Xenopus tropicalis: one gene and its partner. The protein of the gene in region 1 purifies or fractionates together with the protein of each later gene. This does not show direct contact. Links are inferred from orthologs where the notes say so. Each region holds a gene or a part of one and is shown in the gene's direction. Other genes may lie near its edges.

Evidence for each region.
Region 2: the proteins of usp13 (region 1) and bag6 purify together in Homo sapiens (affinity purification with western blotting; 3 studies listed by BioGRID and IntAct, with this or other methods). This does not show direct contact. The link is inferred for Xenopus tropicalis from reciprocal best matches to the Homo sapiens genes USP13 and BAG6.

The regions. Positions count from the first base shown.
Region 1 is NC_030681.2:108,712,839-108,717,051, reverse strand, and holds part of usp13 (ubiquitin carboxyl-terminal hydrolase 13), read left to right. Parts: intron 1-916; coding exon 917-1,091; intron 1,092-2,493; coding exon 2,494-2,582; intron 2,583-3,440; coding exon 3,441-3,563; intron 3,564-4,100; coding exon 4,101-4,127; intron 4,128-4,213. UniProt on the Homo sapiens protein: Deubiquitinase that mediates deubiquitination of target proteins such as BECN1, MITF, SKP2 and USP10 and is involved in various processes such as autophagy, endoplasmic reticulum-associated degradation (ERAD), cell cycle progression or DNA damage response.
Region 2 is NC_030684.2:74,272,704-74,276,916, forward strand, and holds part of bag6 (large proline-rich protein bag6), read left to right. Parts: intron 1-55; coding exon 56-137; intron 138-614; coding exon 615-922; intron 923-1,494; coding exon 1,495-1,780; intron 1,781-1,954; coding exon 1,955-2,124; intron 2,125-2,326; coding exon 2,327-2,380; intron 2,381-2,465; coding exon 2,466-2,568; intron 2,569-4,023; coding exon 4,024-4,148; intron 4,149-4,213. UniProt on the Homo sapiens protein: ATP-independent molecular chaperone preventing the aggregation of misfolded and hydrophobic patches-containing proteins.

The DNA.
Region 1 (4,213 bases):
TTTTTTATATTTAATTTTGACATTTCATATGGGGCTGGACATATTCTTTATTTCCCAGGGTGCCACAGCCATGTGACCTGTGCTCTGATAAACTTCAGTCACACTTTACTGCTGAGCTGTAAGTTGGAGTGATATCAGCCCCCTCCCAGCAGCCGATCAGCAGAACAATGGGAAGGTAGCAAGATAGCAGCTCCCAATAGATATCAGAATAGCACTCAATAGTAAGAAATCTAAGTCCGGCTTGGGACTCCTCCAGTTACATGGGAGTAGGAGAAACTATAGGTTATCTGAAAGCAGTTTCAGTGTGTAGCGCTGGCTCTTTCTCAAAGCTCAGGATCAGGCACAATGCATTGATGTGGAGCCTACGCACCAATATTACAGCTCAAAAAATACATAATGTCCCCCTGTTCTAATGCTCATCTGGCTGAATACTTTTAGACTCAAATAAAATGTAACAATAGTTGACTGTCCTCAGCCTGCCTTCAGCCTGCATCCTCCAAATCCCACAATTCCCTCCACATGTGATGTCAATAAGGAAAGGAATGGTAAAATAGTCCCTGCATGCTGTCTGTAAACTGGAGAAGTTGTTACAATTTGTAACATCAATGTTTTAGAAAAAAACTGTTTTGCAGCTTGATTTCAGCATACAAAAATGGTATTTATTCTTACATTTTAAAGCAACAGATGACAGTGATATATTAGAGGTTTCTGTGTAGTGTGGTGGTCTTTAACAAACTTTGGTTTGGAAGCTGGAGTTAATAATAATTTAGAAAACTGAAAATGCCCCATTGTTTTCTCTTATTTTTGTTATTTAGCAAGTTTTGATGTTGAAATATTGCTGAATATATGATGCGGAAGTTTGGTAACAAATTTCTCGTACAAATATGCAGCCATCTGACTTGTTACCTTTTAACAGAGGAACTGATTGCATATGACCTGAAAAGAAGAGAAGCAGAGAGTGCAAAGAGGCCTCCACCGGAGCTGGTCCGTGCCAAGATCCCATTCAGTGCCTGCTTACAGGCCTTTACAGAGCCTGAAAATGTGCCTGACTTCTGGAGCAGTGCTCTTCAAGCCAAGTCTGCGGGTGTTAAGTATGTCATGCTTTTTTATCTTTTTCTAACGAGTGGCATCTCTAATAGTCTCTAATAGTAAAAGCTGATCTATCCACTATTTAGCTATCCAACAGAACCACTGCATATGATTCTTAGGCTTGACTCAACTGAATCTAAGTTATCAATGCTGGTTTTAGAGTTAAATCATTTTGAGTTTTTACATGCACAATGCCACATTTACCCATTTATTATCCTTTGTGCATAATTATGGTGTGCATGACATAATTTGTACCATAAATGCAGCAGTATTGTTAAATGTTAAGGTTATAAATGATTACAGGTATGGGATCCCTTATCCGGAAACCCATTATCCAGAAAAACTGATTTCCTTTTTCTCTGTAGAAATAAAACAGTACCTAGTAATTGATCCCAACTAAGATATAAATAATCCTTATTGGATGCAAAACAATCCTATTGGGTTAATTAATGTTTTATTAATTTTTTAGTAGACTTACTAAGACTTACTAAGACCCCTTATCCGGAATACCCTTGGTCCCAAGCATTCTGGATAATGGGTCCTATACCTGTACTAGTAAATATTTCACCTGACTCTTTCATATTGGTATGATACCAGTAAATTAATCGTATGATACCATTCTTTCATCGTGACTTTCTTTGAATTATTCTCACAATTCCTTGAAGTTTTCATATCCATTAGGTAAGACATGTGCTCCTTCCTTTGTAAATAATTCCCTGCCTGAAGGCCAACGATTTGCTGTCAGCTGTTTCCTAGAAGAGAGAGGGTGCTGAGTGTCAGCAAACGATTTCTTCTCCCTTGCCCAATTCTATATTTAGATTGTGCCAGAGAAACAGCAGTTTCTGTTTGGAGTGCAGGGTTTCTCATGTGCAAGTGTGTTATTATTAAAATCATCTTATAAAGATATCTTTGCTCCCTGCCCTTTAAAAAGTAGGTACTTTATACATTTGGATAGTTTCACATTATTATTTTTAATTACCTGAGCAACCATTCTATTGTCCTCAGCCAGTGCCAGATTGGTGAACCATACTGTATTTATAGAGTTCCAAGCATTGTACCAAATCCCACACATGCACGTGCACCTGTACATCTAGACTAGAAATTTACTTTGGAGAAAGGGGAAAGAACATTTACCTGGGTACTCTTAACATGCTGAGAGTATAGACTGGGCTACTTAAAGAGTGGCATCTATACGATCTCTCTGATTAGCTAGTTGGTGGCAACTGGGGCAGTTAAGTGCAAGCAGTAGTGACACAGGCAAACACAATAGGTGGCCGTTCCTTAAAAATCTGATTCACACTAAATCAATAGAGTTGCATTTGTGTTTATTTTATAGAGAAAATTATATGTATGATCAGGTGTAATCTCATTTCTTTACCAATATTTTAAGTGTTTGTTTTTTAGGACATCTCGCTTTGCTTCATTCCCTGAATACCTGGTAGTCCAGATAAAGAAGTTTACATTTGGCCTTGATTGGGTACCCAAGAAACTTGGTGAGTAATTAAGTACTCAGGGCAAGATTTACTAACATTTATGTTTTTTCTTTTTTTCAAATTGTATTTTTTAGTGCTAAAAATGATAAATTATGAAAAAAGTGTTTGAGCAATTAGTAAAATATTCCAAGTGTAAAAACCATAAAAACATTATTACAAACATATGCCATCTAAAAGCTGTCGAGGGCATTCAGAAGTCAATGTCTTAGGAAAATTATAACAGTATTTAATGTGTGGTTTTTGAGGTCTTTTTGTTTTTTTTCTTTTGTAAATGCACAAAAATTCTTAAACAAGGATTTCAAGGTTTTGGCAGGGTCAGATTGGTGTGGTGCAGGGCTCACCCTGCCGTGGCCCCCCACACCCCCTGCAGGGGTCCCCTCTAATTGCTGGACCCACTTCCCTGAGCGTGTGTAAATTGAGCTTACTTTCAGTGCGTCGGTGGGGGGAGATCTGGCTGGGATCCAGTCTGGCAGATAAATAAGCCAACATTTGTGCTTTTTAAATCATGGCTTTTTTTCATGGTAGAAAATTCACAAAATTACAAATGTAATTGTTCTGCTCCTCAGTGTAATAATGAGCAAAGTTATATCATAATAGACATGATAAGGTTAATTCCCATTCTATATATTCTATCTGTGATGACATAAGAGATGTTGGGTTATTAATGAAATGTTAGACTAGTGGCCCTTTTTGGGTGTTTGCCTACTTTGTTTTATTCTCCCTGAAAATATGGTGTTGCAATAGCCAAAACTGCTGTTGCTTTTCAGAGATTCTGAAATATCGCCCCATGTGCCATTGCTCTTAGGTCAAAGAGGATAAATTAAATGGATGTAAAGGTCCTTCTTTCCTTTTAAATAGATGTGAGTATAGACATGCCAGATCTTCTTGACATCAACCATCTCAGAGCTACAGGGCTCAAATCAGGAGAAGAGGAACTTCCAGATATTGCTCCTCCTATTATCATTCCTGATGATCCCAACGGTATGTAATAATTGAAAAATTGACATTTGTATTTTTTTCATAATAACATTGATAAAACATTTTTAAATCAGTTGGCCCATATTTGCCTTGTTTGTGTGCACCATGAATCATATGATCTAAGGGGGTGGCCCTTAGAACTCTAAATGGCAGTTTTCTATTTACGATTACCTAGAAGCATGTACAAAAGTATATATTTGTAAAAATGGTTCATTTAGTTGAAGCAGAGCTTTACATCTGAGCTGTTTTATGCAATATATATTATAGAGACCTACATTGTTTGTGGGTAATGATTTCCTTTAACAAGTATTTATTAAGATCCAGCATATTCTGCCGTTCTGTGTAATAAATGGGTGTATACAATAGAAATACTGAATAAAAAAACACTGCTAAAACAACTGATCATGGATATAACAGGTAAAGAGGCCCTGCGCAAATGAGATTACATTTTATTTCAGATTATTTTAAAATGATAACATATGTGGTATGCTGTACATTGTTAATTACAACATTCTCTTGTATGACATTTGTAATTTGCAGATCATTCCAGGAACCACTTTATGGAATGTAAGTATCTGAAAAAAATGTAACTTTTTTATTTTGAGCATTTTTCATGTAGGATGGCTGAAAGGATAGTTTGTTGAATTAGGTGG
Region 2 (4,213 bases), on another chromosome or scaffold:
GATTTTAATTTGACATTGTAACCTGTAGCTTTCTTTCTCCTACATCTGTCTCCAGGTGGGTCCAGCAGGAAATGCCTCCTTGGCTCAGATGATCAGCGGTCTTGTTGGACAGCTTCTGATGCACCCAGTTATTGTTGGTGAGAAGGCCAATGTTATGTCTTGTTTCCTGACCTAATTTCTATCTGCCTGCTTCTCCTTTCTTGTTTTTTTTCTCTCTTTTAACATAAGGTTTTGTAAAAGACATTGTGTATTTGCAGATATTGCAATAATACTGAAATAGAACTAATTTGGACACTTTTGGTTGGGAGATTCTCATTCCCTATTTTTAAAAGATATTAGTTTATGTATAAGCCTGTACAGGTAATTAATACTGGGTAGGCCGGGTTTAAGTAACTGAACACTAAATTAATAATTGTCTATGCTGATTCTATAACAAGCTGTCTATGTGTAAGTGGTTATTTTACTGCATTGGTCATTTTTATAGTCAGGACAAGCTGAGGTTAGAGAATCAAGACTGAAGTAAATGCTGAGTGCCTTTCATTTGTTTACTAATGATTGTTTTTTGTTTATTTTTCTCTCTTGCTGATTTGTCAGTTATTCTTCTCTTTTCACAGCTCAGGGTGGCAGCAACACCCCCTCTTCTACGTCAACCCCAACTTCTACATCCTCCTCCAGCTCCTCTTCATCCTCCACTGTCACTACCTCTACAACAACCACCTCTTCCACATCCTTCCCCACTGTTTCATCAGGTCCCTCTCCCCAGCCCCCACCTGGCACTGATCAACACCTCTCTCAGCTCCTGGGCTCTTTACTGGGAACTGCCGGCTCAGGGATGTCAAACTTCGCTATGGGTTCGCCGAGTATTACTGTTACCGTGCCTGGAATGCCGGCCTTTTTACAGGGTGTCACAGATATATTACAGGTACCTATTGTGGTGTTCAGTGTGCATGTGCAATGCAGTTGCATACGTATGCTTTTCCAGTCCTTAAAGGAACAGTAACACAAAAATATTTAAATACGTTATAAGTCACAAAACATCTCTAACATTTTTGTATATTTAGTAAATAATGGTCATACAGCCAGCTTTGTTAATTACATTGTAGATACAAATTACGCATTTCTCTGTGGGGAAGCTGGTGTCAGTGGTTTGTAGGCTAGTTTTTAAAATGTTTTGGAAATGCCTTGGTGGTAAATAAAATGGAACTTGTATTTAGAATTAGAAAGAGGTAGCTAACCTCACCAGTGAGTTGTGATGCTTGTGTTTGCCTTCCTGTAAAGCAAGACTATAATAATGTTTGTCCTCAACTGTCTGTTTTTTCTGCTGTCTTTGTTTTTGGTGTTTTGTTAAAAAAGCAAAAAAATAAGACTTTGGAATACAGAGATGTGTAGATACCACAAGGCAGTAAAATAGGAATAGGTTATACAAGGGAAAATACAATGAGTTTCTATCAGTAAACACAATCTAACTTTATCCTTCTCTTTTTGATTTCTTAGGCTACACAGACTGTTCCTGTTTCTACTTCTCCTCCCCAGTCTGCTTCTCAGGCTCCTCCTCCTTCATCACCCTCACCACCTCCTGCCCATTCCTCTCCCCCTCCAGCTGCCGCACCAGAGTCTCTTCCTCCAGAGTTTTTCACTAGTGTTGTTCAGGGTGTCCTTTCATCCATGCTGGGGTCTTTGAGTGCAGCTGATCAGAGTGGAACAGAAAGCATTGCAGCTTTCATTCAGAGGCTCAGTGGCTCCCACAACATTTTCCAGCCTGATGCAGAGGGACCTGGTGGTAGGAAACTTCCCTATGGCATTTTCCTTTTGCCCCTTTCTCGTTTTGTATATGTCTTTTTTTCTTTCTCTACACCCCTTCAATTGTTTCTTCCATTTACTCCAGCTTTTTTCTTTTTAGAATTCTTTCTCTAAAATTTGGCCTTTAACTTGTTTCCTGCCTCATTTGTTCCAGGATTTTTTGGTGACTTACTCACCTTGATTTGTCACAATTTCTCCCTGGTCGATATGGTAATGTTACTGCATGGTCATTCCCAGCCTTTGCAGAATCTGCAGCCTCAACTGAGATCCTTCTTTCTTCAGGAGTATCTACACCAGGCAGATCCCACACCTAATAACATCCAGGTATGTCACTATGTGTTCCTTTCTGCAGCTATAATGTGGGTGTGTATCTCACTTGGGGAGTAAAATGCTGATCCTTTATTCCTTTGAGTATGATCTCTGCACAGAAGTTAGATTCTTTCTTAGCACCCAGTGATAATGCTAACTTTTAATATATATTATCTTATATCCCATAAGCAAGACATCTTTTTTCTGCCTCTTTCAGATGGCATCAAGAAATCTTACTAATGGCCTGGAAGAGTACATAAGAGAAAGCTTTGTAAGAATTTTTTTGTCCTTTATATTTTACACTGACTGTTTTAGTGGTTATATCGCTAATCTTGTCCCCGTGTCATGTCTACCAGGCCTCCGTTACTGTGCGTGATGATGTTGATATCACAAGAACAAACCTTGAATTTCTACAGGATCAGTTCAACAGGATCACAACACACATCCTACATTGTGCAGGTATCTATGTGGAAAAGGATCCACATTTAAAGTCTTGCTCTAAACCTTTATTTGGTTACTTGGGAACTGTCTATCTCCCTTCATATAAAACAGATGATGCACTCAGCAACTATAAACAATGGTATCGTGAGGCCTCAACCAGAGCCCATATGCCAGCAAATTTGTTGTCCCTCATATATAGTAACTTACTAAGGTCCACTGAAATAAAGTTTTTTGTTTTTTTTTTTATATTCTTTTTTTTCATTTTTCAAATATTTACAAAGAAAAAGGATAACATACAAAGTGGGAAAAGAGGGGGTAGGGGTATCAATGGTCTGTTACAGTTATCACAGTTTGTATAGTTACGTCATTGCGTGTTTTTTTTTTTTTTTTTTTAATAATTTACTGTACTTGAGACCATATACAGTAGAGGGTAGTTATTTGTTTTCTGTTATGTTTTACCCTAAGAGAAAGGGGGGTAAAAGTTGGGTAGAGCAGAGCAATGCAGTGATAACTTGTACCTGTACTTTTGGTATAGTCTTATGTTCTGGCAGAGGTATGTGTATTATATTGTGTTGTGGCATACCAGGATATTGATTTTGCTCATATTTTTACAGGGTTTCCAAGGGCTTAGACCTGGGTCTGGATTGGGTTGCTGGTTGTTTGGTTGTAATTGACCATATTCTGGAGATTCTTTGTATAGAATCCAAGTTGTCCAGACTTTAGTGAAGTTTTCACGTGATTTGGTGGTATGTGCTAACATTTCTTCCATTCTCATAATATGGTTGAGCTCAATCGCCCAGTCTCCAATCGTTGGGGGTTTGGTATTCTTCCAGAGTCTGGGTATAACTGTTCTAGCTGCCGTTAATGAAAAGGCAAGGAGACCCTTTTGCTTAATAGAAATTTGTTTGTTGGTAGGGGGTTTAGAGAGTAGTGCTAGGGCTGGGTCGGGTTGGAGGTCAAGGCATAGCACTTTAGAGATGGTTTGGAATACATGGGTCCAGAATGGTTGTAGGTTGGGACAGTCCCACCATATATGTTTCATATCACCTCGCTGAATATTGCATCGCCAACACTTGTCTGATACGTTTGGGAACATGGTGTGTAAAGTGGCCGGGCATTTGTACCATCTAGATATGATTTTGTAGTTTGTTTTTTGGGTTTTTTTTTTTTTTAGTCGACTGTCTTTTAGCTTTTTAGTTGTGCTTTTATGGTGAACATTATTTTGTTTTCTTGTTGCATGACTCTCAGGAACTATATAGTGATAGCACTGTTTCTGAAGACCTGCCATAATCTGGTCATTTAATTGTAAAGAGGTGGGGCTGCAAGCAGGCTTCAAACCTGATTATGGTTAGTGTAGATTAGTCTGTGTGTTACAGTTGTGAGTAGTAACTAAACTCCATACAGGAACATAAGTTTTTTTTTTTTTTTTTTTTTTTTTTAGAATTCTAGTTTATTAATGCCTTTTCCCTGCAGATTCCACATTCGGACAGCGGCTTCTTGAGATGTGTAACCAGTCTCTCTTTGAATGGCTTGCTCTCAACCTGTATTGCCTCCGAGGGGACCAGAGTGCTCTCACATCTGTCATTAATGAGAGAATTGTACGTTTTTGTGTTTTGTCTTGCTTCCTATGTTTCTTCCCATGTCTTCAGGGTCTGCATTATAT